2 linked regions of the Oreochromis niloticus genome follow. The protein of the gene in region 2 interacts with the protein of the main gene of each other region in a pairwise test. Links are inferred from orthologs where the notes say so. Each region holds a gene or a part of one and is shown on either strand. Other genes may lie near its edges.

The links. The genes of interacting proteins can lie anywhere in the genome.
Region 1: the proteins of mlx (region 2) and mxd1 interact in a two-hybrid assay, tested with the Homo sapiens proteins (2 studies listed by BioGRID and IntAct). The link is inferred for Oreochromis niloticus from reciprocal best matches to the Homo sapiens genes MLX and MXD1.

What each region holds. Positions count from the first base shown.
Region 1 is NC_031977.2:7,021,211-7,028,534, reverse strand, and holds the start of mxd1 (max dimerization protein 1), read left to right. Parts: upstream 1-4,306; 5' UTR 4,307-5,259; coding exon 5,260-5,326; intron 5,327-5,972; coding exon 5,973-6,072; intron 6,073-7,324. Other genes in the region: snrnp27 (U4/U6.U5 small nuclear ribonucleoprotein 27 kDa protein), read left to right, coding at 63-175, 281-360, 2,686-2,750, 3,101-3,155. UniProt on the Homo sapiens protein: Component of a transcriptional repressor complex together with MAX. In complex with MAX binds to the core DNA sequence 5'-CAC[GA]TG-3'. Antagonizes MYC transcriptional activity by competing with MYC for MAX binding.
Region 2 is NC_031969.2:25,992,378-26,000,133, forward strand, and holds the start of mlx (max-like protein X), read left to right. Parts: upstream 1-4,743; 5' UTR 4,744-4,846; coding exon 4,847-4,885; intron 4,886-5,791; coding exon 5,792-5,828; intron 5,829-5,970; coding exon 5,971-6,060; intron 6,061-7,756. UniProt on the Homo sapiens protein: Transcription regulator. Forms a sequence-specific DNA-binding protein complex with MAD1, MAD4, MNT, WBSCR14 and MLXIP which recognizes the core sequence 5'-CACGTG-3'. The TCFL4-MAD1, TCFL4-MAD4, TCFL4-WBSCR14 complexes are transcriptional repressors.

The DNA.
Region 1 (7,324 bases), on a different chromosome or scaffold from region 2:
TTCTTTCACTCTGATTAGGTGTGATAACCCATCCTGCAGCCATCACTGTGCTCCTTTTGCAGGTCTCCCCGACGTCATCGATCCTCCTCCCTCTCTCCTTCGAGACAAAAGGAGAGACGAGATGATGAGCGCAAAGACTCAAAGGAAAAGACGGCAAAGCCCATTCAGATCTCAGGTATCAGACATTATCTATACACTCGCACATTAAGCAGGAATCTTAGTTTTTCAGACAGTTTGTAGTAGCAGAGACTAAATTCAATGTTTTTTGTTTTTTAAATAGCGGAGGACATGCAGGGCAAAACGGAGGAGGAGATTGAGATGATGAAGCTTATGGGATTTGGTTCCTTTGATACCAGCAAGGTGAGAGTTGTTCTATGTGTTATGCAGCCACAAGGGGGTGCAGTTTATTTCTAATAAAGTTCACAACACACACACACACACACACACATTATGTTTGCATTTATTTCAGTGGATTGAAATGGAACTTCCAAAAGCACATTGGCACTGATGAAATCTATTAGAGCAGCTGCTGTATAAAGCAGGTTGCTCTTGTTTAAATAAAGGGGACATTTTTCACGTTTTTCCCTTGACTCTTTCTATTTAGGGGAATACTGTTGTTTTTGAGTTATGGTTCTTTTTTTTCACCCCCGCTTATCTGTTAACCCTTTTAAACCGCACGGGAGCGTGCACGCTCCAATTTGCGTAACTATTTTTAAATCCCTATTATATTTTCGTTTTTGCTGCAGGTTGTAAAAATGAGTGTATTTCAAAAATGAAATTATAAAGACACTCAAAATAAATTTCCTGTGGCTGGGAACTATTTTGTGGAACTTTGCATTTACAGTTTTGAGGGATATACCTCTGAAGTTTCTGTAAATAGAAAAAAGTTTAAAAAACAATTTTCAATTTCTTTTTTTAGTTTATTGCACATTTTTGGTATTTATGTAGTTACTATGGACATATTGCATATGTATGATTTAAATTTAGGATAAAAGGATCTTATTGATGTATAACAAGTGGAAATGCTCCAAAAAATGGCACTACAGCATGTAAAAATGTAAAGATAAGCTCAGGCAGACTTGGTTCTATGGTGGGCTTAAAACGGTTAAATATTGACATAATTGACATATACTGACATGTTTGTACATGAATGTAGAGCAGCTTTCACATGACAGCAAGCCCTCCATGGCTAATGTAAGTTTGCAATACTGTGCAAGAGTTTTGAGCCACTCTCATTTATTTTGCTTCCATAACGAGCAGTGTTGGGTCCACACATAACAGACAGTTTGGCAAAGAAACAGTTTAAAATCCTATCTTTAGAGACTTTTGTTGCTAATAGCCTGTCACAGTATGTAAAAGTTATATCCTTTTGAAGTAGGAACAAATCCAGCAAAGACCTGGCACAGGGAAGCATCTGGCCCTTCAGGTGGTCATCTACTGTTCACTGAAGCCTCATCAAAAATAGTGTCAGTGGAAAGGTGAAGCTACTCTTAAGGAAGAATAAAAGGGAGAAAAGGCTGAAGTGTTCCAAATTACACAAGAACTGAACTGAAAATCGGTGGTAACAAGTCTTAGACATGATAAATCAAAATGTGAGTTTTTTGGTTCAGATTTTCTTAATATGTATGCAGGAGGTCAAGACAGAGGTACAACACTGAGTGTCTGCAGCAGTCTAAAACAGACGGTGAAGACTCTGTCATGGTTTGGGGCTGCACTTCAAGCAGTGCTGTTCAGTATGAACACAGAAAAGTACCATCATTTTAATCAACCATGCAATAACATCTGGAAAGCATCTGACTGGCAAGGGTTTTATTGTTCAGCATGACCCAGTCACACTGCCAAAGCAGTAAAAGCACACCTGGTTAGCCGAGCTTCAACATTATTGAAGCAACGTGGGATCATCTTGACAGAAAATAGAATAACAGGCACATTAAAAGAGCTTCGAATCTCCCTCAAGGAGCCTGGCGAACTATTCCAGAACACTACTTAAAGACAAAAAAAAGTCATACCAAATATTGACTCTCAGCTTGTTAGAATTATACTGCATTTTCATCTATGTTTACACAATTCAGTAAGTCACAGCACTGTAGCTGTCTAAGATTCTGAATGAAAAGTTGAGATTATAATCTTAAATTATGGCTAGCTGTTGAAATTGTTAGCTATAAGAATAGATTAACATTCTAAATGCTATGAAACCTGTCTATTATGAAAATGATCAAAAGTGGGGAAAATAAATGGATAGACTTAAAGTAATCACTAAACAAAGAATAGCAGTTACAAGAAGTGGACGAATAGTTGCAATTATAAACTAATAGTTATGGTTGTGCACACTGTTTATCCAATAAGAGTTGGTAAACTTAATCTAATCACAAAGAGCAAACAGTGGGTTGAAAAGGGTCACTTCAAAAATCAGTCCCATTGAACACTAGCAGTGTTATTGTTGATAAAGAGGTTCCTCTGACAGGCCACTGGGTTTGTCCTATTAACAAAACAAAACAGTTTTCCGTTGATCAAAATCCTTCAGTTCTGTGAAATGCATATTTAGAGAATTCCAACTGCTATCATGAGCTTGACCCAATTCAGCTTCACCTGTTCACTGTCATGTTTAGCTAAGAATGTTTTTTTTTGTATTTTTTTTTAAGTTTGCTTTGTAATATGTCATGCAGTAACATTATTTTTACACAGGGGAAGAAGACCGATGGCTCAAGTAACGCGTATGCCGTCAATGTGACCATGAAGAGAAAATACAGGTAGGTCATCGAACACAAAACAAGCGTTTGTAGTTGATCAGCTGTGCCGTCGGTACAGTGCAGCACATCTCTTTGGATATTTCATAAGCTTTCCTTTTGTTAGTGACGGATCCTTTTTAAAGTTACTTTTGGAGCCCCAGCTGTTACTCATGTTGCTGAATTACGTCAATTTTTCTGCCCCCTCTTCACAGTGTGCACTCTCAGCATCTATCACTGTTAAAGTAGCCAATCACCTCCGCAGGTGTTTCTATGCAGAGATGCCAGCGCTCCCATTGGTGCTCGATGATGTAATCTGTGTGTGTTGGGAGGGAAACAGTGATATAATGTTTTCTTATATATTTATTTTACAGGCAGTACATGAACAGAAAAGGTGGATTTAACAGGCCGCTGGACTTCATTGCTTGAAAGTATCTCAACTCCAATGTTCCCCAAGAAGTTTACCTGTGTGTACCCTCCCTTCCCTCTACCCTTATGAATAGATGGCATGTTCAGTATCCTATGTGGTTTGTGTGATTTAACAGTCGTGTATATACCTTTTTATAAACGAATGCATACATGTAAATAGTAGTACCTGCAAGATGTACTCACAACTGGGTGAGACTGAGCTTAATATTGTTGACATGGATGATTTATTTGAAATAAAAGCATTTAAAAAACATGCTTTCTGTCCTGATTATGAAAATGCATTTATTAAAATGCCTATGCACTAATTAAATATCCATCCACCAGGTTGTGCAGGAACACTCTTTCTTTTGAAATAATGGCTAAATATGACATTATTCATTGTCCCTTTTAAGGATTGAATAGGATCAGATTGGTTATTCCTGTGAATGCTTGCGTTTCTTTCTAGTTTAAATATAGCATAATCTCATTTGGTGTTCTCTGAGAAATGTATCCTATAGGATTGTTTCAAATCCAGGTTTAAATTCAGACCTAACTAAAGGCTGCTAAGAAACCTTTCCTGGGGTGGTATATGTTCAAGTCCAGGGTTTATCGTGCTCTAAAATAATGATCCCTCTCATTTTGAAGCAAGCTTTTAAATGTTTCATACTAGATTGGATCAGCTTTGCTGTCTGACAGAACCGACCCACCAAAATAACCAATCCCCGTACTTGTCCTTAACCCAACCACCAATCATAAGCGAGCATCCCTCCGGCAGATCCAATCTAGCGCCGAGCCTTTTAAAGCCATTATGGATCAGAAAGCAACAAGCGGACGCATGCGCGCAGATATTTTGTGACGGAGAAGAAGGAGACCAATGATAAGAGGTCATGTGAATTCGACCAATCATGTATCGCAAAATTTATTAAATGACACAACGGGAGCCAATCGCTGCCATACACCGAGAAACAGCATGGCAGAGAGGCGTGTTGATTGTCAAAAGCGGGCGTTGTCAGATAAGCTCGTGCGCACTAGGGCCAATAGCTGTCAAGTTTATAGAAAAAAACAACCAATTACTGTGTACAAGTGTATAGCGCAGAAACTGTCTCCATTGTGGCTGTACATGGTGTATTTCAGCCAATGTTAATTAGAACCAAAATGGCTGCTTAAGGTCCACAGTTGAAGTAAGCGCTGAACCCTCTTCTGCAATTGACGGTTTTAACGCCGAATAGGAGCTTGAGAGGTTATACTCAGTATCCAATCACACTGCAGCACCCAGAATCTTTGTACAATACAGTAGAGAGCTGGTGTCCAGATCAACAAGCCACTATTTTGGAAGCTGTTTGACAAACAGTCACTGTTCTTCAGTTGATGTCAGTCGCTATCGGCGTTTCCAGCAAGACGTATCGCGCGTTAAACCGGCGCAAAACTAACCAGCCACAGCTCTAAACCGAAAAGGTTGGATGACATCGTCGGCTGAACTTTATATCAGATAGCTCTTTTTTTATATAAATAAATTTCACAAGGCAAGTGTCTAGCAACTGTAGATGCTAACGTTCTTTTTTCACTGGCCGAAGCTTTTCCAAATACAACACAGATAGCAAGAACTTTCCATATTTAATTTGACAGCTTGACATTGGCGCTAACGTTAGCCAGCCTTTTTTTTTTTCGCCAAATAGAGCAATTCGCGGATTATTTTTGTATGTTACACAGCCTTTCGTTTTGTTTGTATCAACAAGCCGTCTTTTCTCGAAGAGCCACCTATAAAGCTGACGATATTTAGCTGACATTTTGACTTAAAGGGGAACAAAGTAACCTTAGCTCCTGAAGAAGTGTTATTAGTGTCAGCCCTCACTAGCCAGCTAACACCATATCCTTAATTTAACAACCACGGAGGAAGTTTGGCTTTTCGAACTGACTGGTGCTGCATTCAAGGCCTTTAACTTTTAAATATCCAGATTGACAGTGAAGGAGCAACTCTGTAACGCTCTCTCTGGCTCTTTAAAAATAATAACTGACAGAACAGCGAGCTCCCTAAGTGTGAAAAAGAAGCAGGAGCCTGAAGCAGTCTGTGTACAGCCACGGAATTCCTTTTCGGATTGTTAAATTATCAGTGTTATTGTTTAAAATGGCGGCGATCGGAATGGTGCAGATGTTGATCGAAGCAGCCGAGTACCTTGATCGCAGGGAACGAGGTAAAGTATCATTGTATTCTTTTCTACTCTCTTTTCTTATTCACCCTGTGCAATATAACATTAACACCCCTCCCCCTCCGAATCACTCGGATTTATGCACACGTCGTTTGATGCTTTCCCAAATCCTGTTGCTTCCTATTAATACTCTTATTACATCAAACAATCAGGCCATGAAATAAATTCATAAATGTCGAATTTCACGCATCGATTCAGCAGGGTGCATCACCTGCCCCAAACAGGTGCTAATAAATATGTGATTACAGGCGCATAATGCATACGTGTAAAGACAAACGGGCATTTGCATTGGCGATATTGAAAGAATGAATGCATATGTGGCAGATGTGCAGGGAGACATTGTTTTCGTGGGCGCCCCTCCTTTCCTTCTGTTGTGGTTTGCTAGTGGGGTTTATTCTAGTTCATGATGACATCATTGTCCATCCCGAGGAAGGGGGAAAAGGCTAAAAGATACTACTTGAGACCCATTCCCTGCATGCCTGCTAAAAAGCATTAGCCATTGCTGCGGGATGCCAAAAACTAAAGCTGAAATGTGGCACGTTGTGCAGTCTGTACTTCTGTTCACTGTGGCTATATTTTGCATTGCAGGATTTCAGGACATGTGACCACTATGTTGTTTACTTGCTTGCAGAAGCTGAACATGGCTATGCCTCAATGCCGCCGTTCATCAGCAGCCGGGAGAGGGAAAGTTTGAAAAGGAAAAGCAAAAGCAAGAAAAACACAAGTAGCAGGTAAAGGCAAAACTGTACATGCCTGATTGTTTTCCTGCTCTGCGACAAGTCGCCCATCACATCCCCACTTCAGGGGTCTCCCCCCACCTCCCCCCTCCCCTCCTCTTCCCGTCCTCACTTCTTGAAGGATTAAGCCATTCTTCATCACACTGGTGTTTGTGTTTCAAGTCAAAATCCTTATTTGGTGCTTGTGATGTGAGGCTTGTTTTTTAATTTTGTAATTTTTTTTAATGCATTTTCGTACTGTGCTTCCAGGTGGACACGCTAACTGCCCAAATTTAAAATGGTAGGAAGTGCAGTGAGGTCAGAGATAGCAGCCTGGTCCCTATTTGCATAATTTGTTACATTCACAGCAACGCTGTTGAAACAGCGACTTTGTGCTCTTGGCCAAACATGGTCACAATCAAACATCCAAAGCTTTGAATAGGGTTATGACTGCGAGACGCTACCTTGTTGTTTTGACATCAAATAGTGACCAGGTCAGACATACTGTTACAAACACCCATCTAATTGCAAAGAAAAGACAGACAGACTAGGCCAATTTTATAATCAAAATAACATGTTAATGCCTCTTAAGTAATATATCTGCAAAAAATATGACATGATTCCTGTCTCATCATGTTTCTCGCTGATGAGAGCTTATTAGAAGCCTTCGGTTTGTTACAGAGCATAAGTCAGCTCTCTGATCTTCCACTGTAAGCTATTGATACGGTTAGCTTCTGATCACCATATCTGCATTTTGGACATTTCTTTTCACTTTAAGATATTATGTTAAATGAAGAATAGAACATAAGATTATGAATAAATCTATTATCTTTTTATCACTGACTGCTGCAGTGAGAGCACAGCTGATGTCAGCTAATGTTTTAACTCTCAGCATTACCGCCTGCCTGTTGCGTTTTTGGTTTTTTCAATCAACACAAAATCCCACTTTGATGTTATAATAGTTTTTTTTCACGTATGTGTTTTACATGTTCAGTTTTTAGTATACCTAATATAGTGAAAACATCAGCATTTATTTTCTTATTTTTTGAGAGAACAATACTACCTGTAGTCATTTTACTAATGGACAGTGTTCTTATTATTAAAGTTCAGTCATTGGTAACCAGGTGGCCCTTACTGCCTCATGTTAGTTTACCAGCTAGCTTTCAAGTTATGTTGCAGTTTTAGTGATCCTTGAGATCATGCTTCCCCAGAGAGGATCTCTCCCAGGGTTGGACAGACTCCAATTCCACCGTGTACAGCGAGTGAC
Region 2 (7,756 bases):
GTCATAAACTGCTCATAATATTTCTGTTATTTTCTGAATATCATAAAGACCTTTATACAGACCAAGTATCCTCCACCTCCATGATTCCAGTGTAGGTTGAATTTCGAGTTGGCATATTACTGTCCAAAAGGGACAGTTTCACACTGAGTTATCAAACCTACAGAGACATGTCATGTGTAAACGTTATTTCCCCATTCACAGAAACTGAATGAGCGGAGGTTGTTATTTTTAAAAAAAAGGTCAAATTAAAAGGAATAAGATACGTCAAGGCATCGGCGTAACTTTCTGCTGAACATTGGGGTGGGGGTCAAGATCTCTGTCTAAATAAATAAATCTGGGTAAATTCCCAGATGATTAAACATGCAACTATTTTGCTGGTAATAACTGAAATGAGTAAAGAAAATTAACAGCCTATTTATGCAAGATAATTCATAATTTTATTGGGGGGGTTATATTGGTTGAGTCTGATTATTGGGGGGGTCATAACCCCCTAACCCCCCTGGAAATTACGCCCCTGCGTCAAGGAAAAAGGCTTCACTCACAAAATTAACTTGTTTTCTTTGATCACTAATTCCCTGTAATTATTTATGTTTTGCTTAAAGATATTTTTTTCACAGTCCTCTCTCACATTACTGCAGCTGGTACTGCACTGGTACTATTTTTTTAGCTGATCAAAAGCTTAAATCAATGTGACCATTTACAGTAAGTTTAAATAATTTCAGTTGATGTTGGGTGTGGCTTTTTAATCTAGTTTTGTGTACATTCAAGCAGCGGTTTGACATCTTCTGTGCACTTTTTTCTTTAAAAAGGGAGGAGTGAAAACGGAAATGATCTGATGTGTTGGTGCTCGAAATGAGGCTCCTTCCTTGGCTGATGTAAGGGAGAGGTCTTACTGTGGTTTTGTGGTACTTAAAAAAAAGGTAATGTGAGTGCCTTGCATTATGAAGTTTATAGCTTCTGATTTAGTTACTCAAAAATAAAAAGTACTCACATTTTTCAGTAATGCAAAAAAAAAAGAAGGTTCACTTCTCGTTTCCTTGTTGGTGACGTCAACAATATAATCTCTAGACTGAGGTTTGACAAGTGACAAGTATTTTACTGAAGAAGGAAGACACTTGAGAGGGTGTTGTCATTTTCCGGAGAGCACATTTTGTGTAGATATTAATGAACTGTTAACCCTGGCTCTAAACTTCATTATCTTGCATGAAATTATAATGTTTCCATTCAAGGTTTGTCATATGAAGCAGATATGGCGTGAATTTTGACTTGTTTTTAGAATAATCATGGTATGCTGTTCCAATCAATGTCATTTTTGAGAAAAGACAAATAGTTTTAGTTGGAATAGTTGCATGGATTTATATTTGCTGTGTAAAGTGTTTGTTTTTTACTACGTAAAAAATAACTTTCTAATTGCACCCCACCTTCTACAAAAACACAAAATCATTATTTTTTTTTACATACACTACATTTTTATGTATGCTAAATATTTGCTTGAAAGGTTAAAACCCATTTACAACTGCTCTGAATAACACTGATCCTGCTTTTGTAATTTAATGTTTTGTTGGGAAAGCCTATGTTAAAGTACCATCCTAAACTTTGTGACATAATATTATTATTAATAGCAGGCAGGTGCTTTCCTCTGTGGTATAAGCCAGACTCATAGAAGCCACACCCTACAACTCATGGGTCTCAAAGGATTTGATACCAACATCCAGATGTTCAGCGGCAGGACAGCCTCAGGGGTTGACAGGTCAAAGAATCTTCGGTGGCTTTAACTAGATGTGCCCACTTCCAGACTAGTGGTTTTAATGAGTGTGGTTAAAATGTATATCTGGACACTTAATGCTGTAAATCATCTACCACATAAACCACAATGCCAGACATTATAGAAAATTAAAAATGAGAACATTGTAGAACAAACTGAACTATTTAGATGTAAAAATCTGGAGAACTTGAGCCTTGAAAAAGTAAAACTCTTAACTCATTGATGTTACTGGCTAAGCTATGTCAGATTAACATGACTGTTAGTGTCTTTGTTTCACTTTTGTAGATCTGTATTTTTTTCTTAGCATTGCTAAAGAAAAAACAAAACACAAATCTCATAGTTAACTCTATTTTTTCATTAAAAAAGTCAAAGAATAAGCCAGGATTAAGATAGTCTAAGCATCATGATTTGATATTTTGCGCAACATATAATCTAAAAGATCGTAATACTTGAAGTTTTATCTTTACTAACTTGTTGTGAGACTGTTGAAAGAATGGTGAAACATTTCCTTTCCGGTCCTGTGGCCTCCGGCATGTAAATGCATTGCTCAACTTCCCATTTCAGCCTGCTGTTGTGCATGCATTTATCAAGCAGTTTCTGGTTTGAATTTTTCTAACCAAACCATGAAGAATTTGGCAACTTGTTGACAGGATTGTCATTGTTTTTATCACTAAAGTGAAAATTTAAGTAACTGATGATATTTGTGCAAATTTGACTGGACAAAATGACAGACCATTAGACTCTGACTGAGGGTGTAACGATCTTTCTAACGTTCAGCTCTTTCTTCTCACTTGACAAATAGCTTTAGATACACCTAGAGAGTGTAAGAAATGAAGTAAAGTACATATTGGAGTCTATATTAGAGCAAAGTAAATTTCCAAAGAGTGAAAGATCAGTCACTTTCAAACTTGGGTTATTACCTTAACAATGTAACAATGTAAAATGAAAGCTGATTTGATATGTGTTTTTGTGATCCTCTTAATCATACTTACTTGCACAATCGCCCTTACATCTACAAACCAAAACTTTGTGCAAAATCTGCATGATTTCATATGGAGTAAGGGTGCACGGCGTGTCATGCTCTCACTCACCAGAACCATGTTGAAGCGCTCCTCCAGCTCCTTCTCTGGTGGCATGGGAAGTTTGGGTTGAGGAGGCTGCTTTTTTTGCAAGGTTGGTGCAGAGTCATTCATTGCTGAAGCTGCACTGACTGAGTTTCTGGCCTCTCGGCCTTCGGCCGGTTCATGCTCCAATCCCCCACCAGCCGCATTCCCCATCACTAATCTCCACAAGTAATCCAGGGGGACTGCTTTACGCAAACTGTTTCCTCCAGGAAATCAGCGTATCCAAAAGCAAAGTGACAAAAGATGGTCACTCTGAATTACAACAGCAAAAAGGCCCTAATCAAATCAAGTCTAGGGCCTCTAGGGCAATCTACATTAATTCTCAGGTTTACAAAATCCGCCTCACACCCGAGGACAGGGTGGGCAATGAAAAAAGAAAGTTTGTCCTCATGGCCCCCTTCTCCTTAAGTTGTCTTCAAGTTCCTTTTGAAAATGAGGTGATAAGTCCTGTTAGAGCCTGTTAGAACTCGAAAAAAAGGTCCGCCTATGCCTCATGCACTGTTGTCTACATTAGTTGACCGAGAACTCTCTGAAATAGTTCAGTACCGAAGCCTGCGTGTGAGAGGAAGGCAGATGAGGAGTGTGACACAGTCAGAAACCACAGAAGCACAAAAGCAGAAGAGTAACTTCCTGTGCATGACAGCTATAGAACCTGGGGCGGAGGACATGGTGGAAGATAAACATGGTAACCGTTACACGTAACCATGCAGTAGGTGGATGATGATAAAGAAAAGATACTACAGGAATGAAGGAGAGCAGACTCCAGATTTGATGTAAGATTAACAGATGTCGATGTAGATGTAAATCAACTACACAATTAAAGGGAACTTTGCAACATTTCACAAAGAAACCACCTTTTTGTACTAGATTTAGTCATTTTACTGATGTCAGCTTGCCATGAGTCAACGGTTACATTTGTTTTGGTGTTTTCCCTTCATGTGGTGGTTTAATCCAGACAGGTAAAGGTGGTTTCAGCATGACAAGAATTGTCAAACAACACCCCTATGTGGATAAAGATGACTACTGCATCTAGTGAGATCTATCCAGTGGGAATGTTAAGATAGTTATGTTTCTGAAAACTAACTTGTTACCATTCGTTGGCTCAGTAATTTACGAAGCCTGTGTGTATACAAATGATTTCTATTGAGGAAAAGAATAATAAGTTTATCACAGATGCATTTCTTTGAGAAAGTGAAAATTATTAGCTCCGATGCAACAGGATATTCATTTTCAAAGCTTTCTGAGACTCACTGGAAGGCAACAGTGTTATCAGCTGAGTAAAATGAAAAGATCAAGATAAAGATTCCTTTACTGCTGCCAAAAGAGAAGATTGGAGATGTGTTTAGACATCAGGAAAATGCTGGGAAAAAATCATCAAAACGATAAAGCTAATCATTTCCTTACAGGTGTAACAGTGGAGACGCAAGTAGCAGAGGTATTGAAGTAAAGTGAGTTTAAATACTTGGAGTTTTTCTTGTAAAGCAACAGTAGGTACACAAGATAGCTGAAGAAGAGAATGCATGCAGGATGGAGAGGATTGAGACGAGTGTCAAGGGTAATTTGTTACAGGAAGATAGCCGCAAGAATGAGATGATGTATGGTTAGGAAATGCTATCACTAAAAAAAGAGATACGCAGACCTGGAGGTGGCAGAGTTGAAGATTTTCACTGGCCATGATGAGCAAGATTCAAGAGCAGCTGAAAGAAAGCAGATTTATTTAAGTGTTTAAGAGACAAAGAACTGATAAAAAAAATAATTTTAGTTTTTCTCTCATACTATGTACGCCTTCTGTTTATTTTTTCTTTTCTTTTTAATACAGTCTTTCTGTGACATAAAACCTACATTTTATGCGGTCAGTTACTGCAGTAATCCTTCCAAACCATGGGGTGGCGTTTATCATGAACAGATACAATTTACTACCGTGGTGCACAGAAGAAGAAATCCGTCGCATTCCAAAATGACGGACCCGACAACATCTCCAGAGGACCAGTGGAAAGTGAGTAACTGCTATCAGAAACCTCTATTTCGGGTTCAGATGACTCATGTGTATGGCAGCACTGGCAAATGACAAAAGCTGTGTTGTCTTAAAGTTGAAGCTTTAGTAAAGTGCAGGGGGTACACGGTTTGTTAGCTTCGTGGCTAACTAACGTTAGCTTCCGAGGTTTTGATAATGTTAGAAAGCTGTATTGGTTAGCTAGCCAATTGCCTACTTATGTAAACAAAGCAGCCATTGTTCCCCCTATGGTGTATACAGTAAGTCTTCATCTACACACGCAAAAAGGTAAAAAAGAAAAAAGGTCAGAGTAGCTGCTTGTTTCTTGCAAATCTATAAGTGCAGCATCAGTGTTTGTGAAGCTCACATTACCTTGTCTGTTTTACACTATATATAATTAATTAGCACACCACAGAAATTGAAATGGTCTTCGTTCCACAGACTCCTTAATAAAGACGTTTAGCCAAATAAAACAAAGAAAATAATTAATAATAATTAACATATGTTCAGGGCCCCCATTAAAAAAAAAAATGTCTCTAAAATAAATAGGGAATAGTAATTTTACAGTACGTAAGTAAACGTGTAGTAGGATCTGTTGTTCAAACTTAACATATATTCATTTTTTCCCCTCCTGAGCTTTTGAGACTTTGGAAACCACAAATTAGACAGCTGTGCCCTACATCAAACAATAGCTCTGTGATGAAGGCTCTTATTTTCTGCAGCTTTTTACCCACCTGTTTTCCTGAACTGGACAAATCAGGGCAATGCTCAGTGGGGGCTTAACTGGCTGGCTATTGGTCTTTTGTCAAACAAATGTAGGGCAGCACAGCGTTTTCCCTTGTTATTAGCTTTACAGCCTCTTATTTTTTGCCTTTTTCTATCTTCTGCTCTCTCGTGATGGCTCGGCAGACCGATGGTGCTTTCAGTGATGGTGGCTTTGACAACAGTGAGTATTCAGTCAGTTCTTGTGTTGTACTTCATCACCAGTGTAATCTGATCTCCCACATGATACCGATTATAGATGTATATCAAAATATATTTTGATTTTGTTGTGGATTATGTTTGATCACTGCTGTCTTGCTGTCTAGGTTATATTTCTGAAGCAATCAGAAAGGGCACTATTGTGTCCCGGGCCAACAGTATCGGCTCAACAAGTGCCTCTTCGGTGCCAAATACAGGTACTGGGTTTGAATGTTGTATATTTATGTGATAGTTAGCTACTAGTAATGTAATTGTAGTGTAGGTTAATTGTTTACTTGTTTGGTTGTTGTAGCCTGAGCCAGTCAGATATTTTTAAGAAAAAAGTTTTTGTTTATTTAGTGTAAAAGCGAAATACAGGAAATAGAGACAGCTTTGCTTATATTTCTCCATGATTTGTATAAAAGGAAAAATCTCTCTTGCTTGTGATTAATAAAAAATATATATTAACCTTAGCTCAAGGCTCGCAAAATTTCAAAATCTCTGGTGGCCCTTCGGGCAGGCCCTCTTCAGTTTTTGGTAGCCCAAAATAAATTTAAGTAGCCCGAATAAAAAAGAGAGCAATTTTTTAATGTTTTGTTTCCTTTACAATACTATACATTAAAGTATAATATTGTAACGGAAACAAAAATTAATCAGAAAGTTGTTAAAATACAAATCACAACAACTGTATAAAAATCACAGTCATCAACTCAAATACTTGGTTCTAATTGAACAGAAATTTCTATGAACTTGTAAGAACTGTGTAGAACATGAATCAGTCTGTGTCAGATCCTGAATCTGAAATTTCCACTGAAGTCACGGGTAAGGGGTGAGTGGAACCAAGATCTAGGCCATTTGCTTTTTGAAGTTTGCAAAGACTGCTAAATTTTGACAATGGTAGTTCACTCTTTGCAACATAGTACGCTTTTGAAAGATTTTTCAGGACTTCTGCTTGTGCTTGGTTTATTTTTAGTATGTTTTTTGCAATTGCTGTTTGTTCTGGGAAAGATATTGCAGACTGAGCAATAATGCATTCTCATGGGTTCTGATGGGGTCTTTCTTAAAATTACTGGTCCCAGTTATAAAGGCGCTTGTCGACTCAAATGAAATGAAACTCACAACACACCTGGCAGAACATCATGTTATTTAGCTCGTCATATTCCAGCCACAGAAATTATTTTGTCCATGAAACCAAAAAAGCTGAGCTTTCTTTTTGCCTCCTAGTCTGATTTGTCATAACGTTTCCGTTTTGTGGTAGGCTTTTATTTGGCTGCCCCTTCTTCACCCTGACCTGTCTTATTTGGCTCAGCAGAACTAAAATACCGGCGTAAGTCCTGCTGCTTTTACACACGTACTTGCATAACGGTCAGCGATTCTCTGCGCAATCAACCTCTCACATGTTTAAACTTGCTGTGGGAGATTTCACTTGTCACGTTTGAATAGTAAGCTAATGAGTGATAAGACGATGTCAGAGGAATTGGTGCGCAATCGTCACTCACCAATCAGTGCTGCCGCTCTCTATACACCGTTCGCGCGATCGCAAAGTGAAAGTGAAAGCAAAAAACAAGCACAAATTCAAACGCGATTTCAATATGTCACATATTGGCAGTGGCTCATCGATGCCGATGACATAATTACTCAGCTACATTTTCGAAAGAATGCAAAAGCATTGACACATATTTTCCCTTCCTATGATAGCCCGACGGGCAGGGCTGAGATAGATTTTGGTAGCCCGACTGGAAAAATCGCTAGCCCCGGGACGTCGAGCTAGCGATTTTGCGAGCCCTGCAGCTCTATAGCTTTTATTTTTATTTATTCCAGAAGTTAGAAAATTCATGTGTTACAGTAACAAAACATTAAACATGGCCCTTAAATATGTCTTAAAAAAAAATACAGTTTGAATAAATATAAATA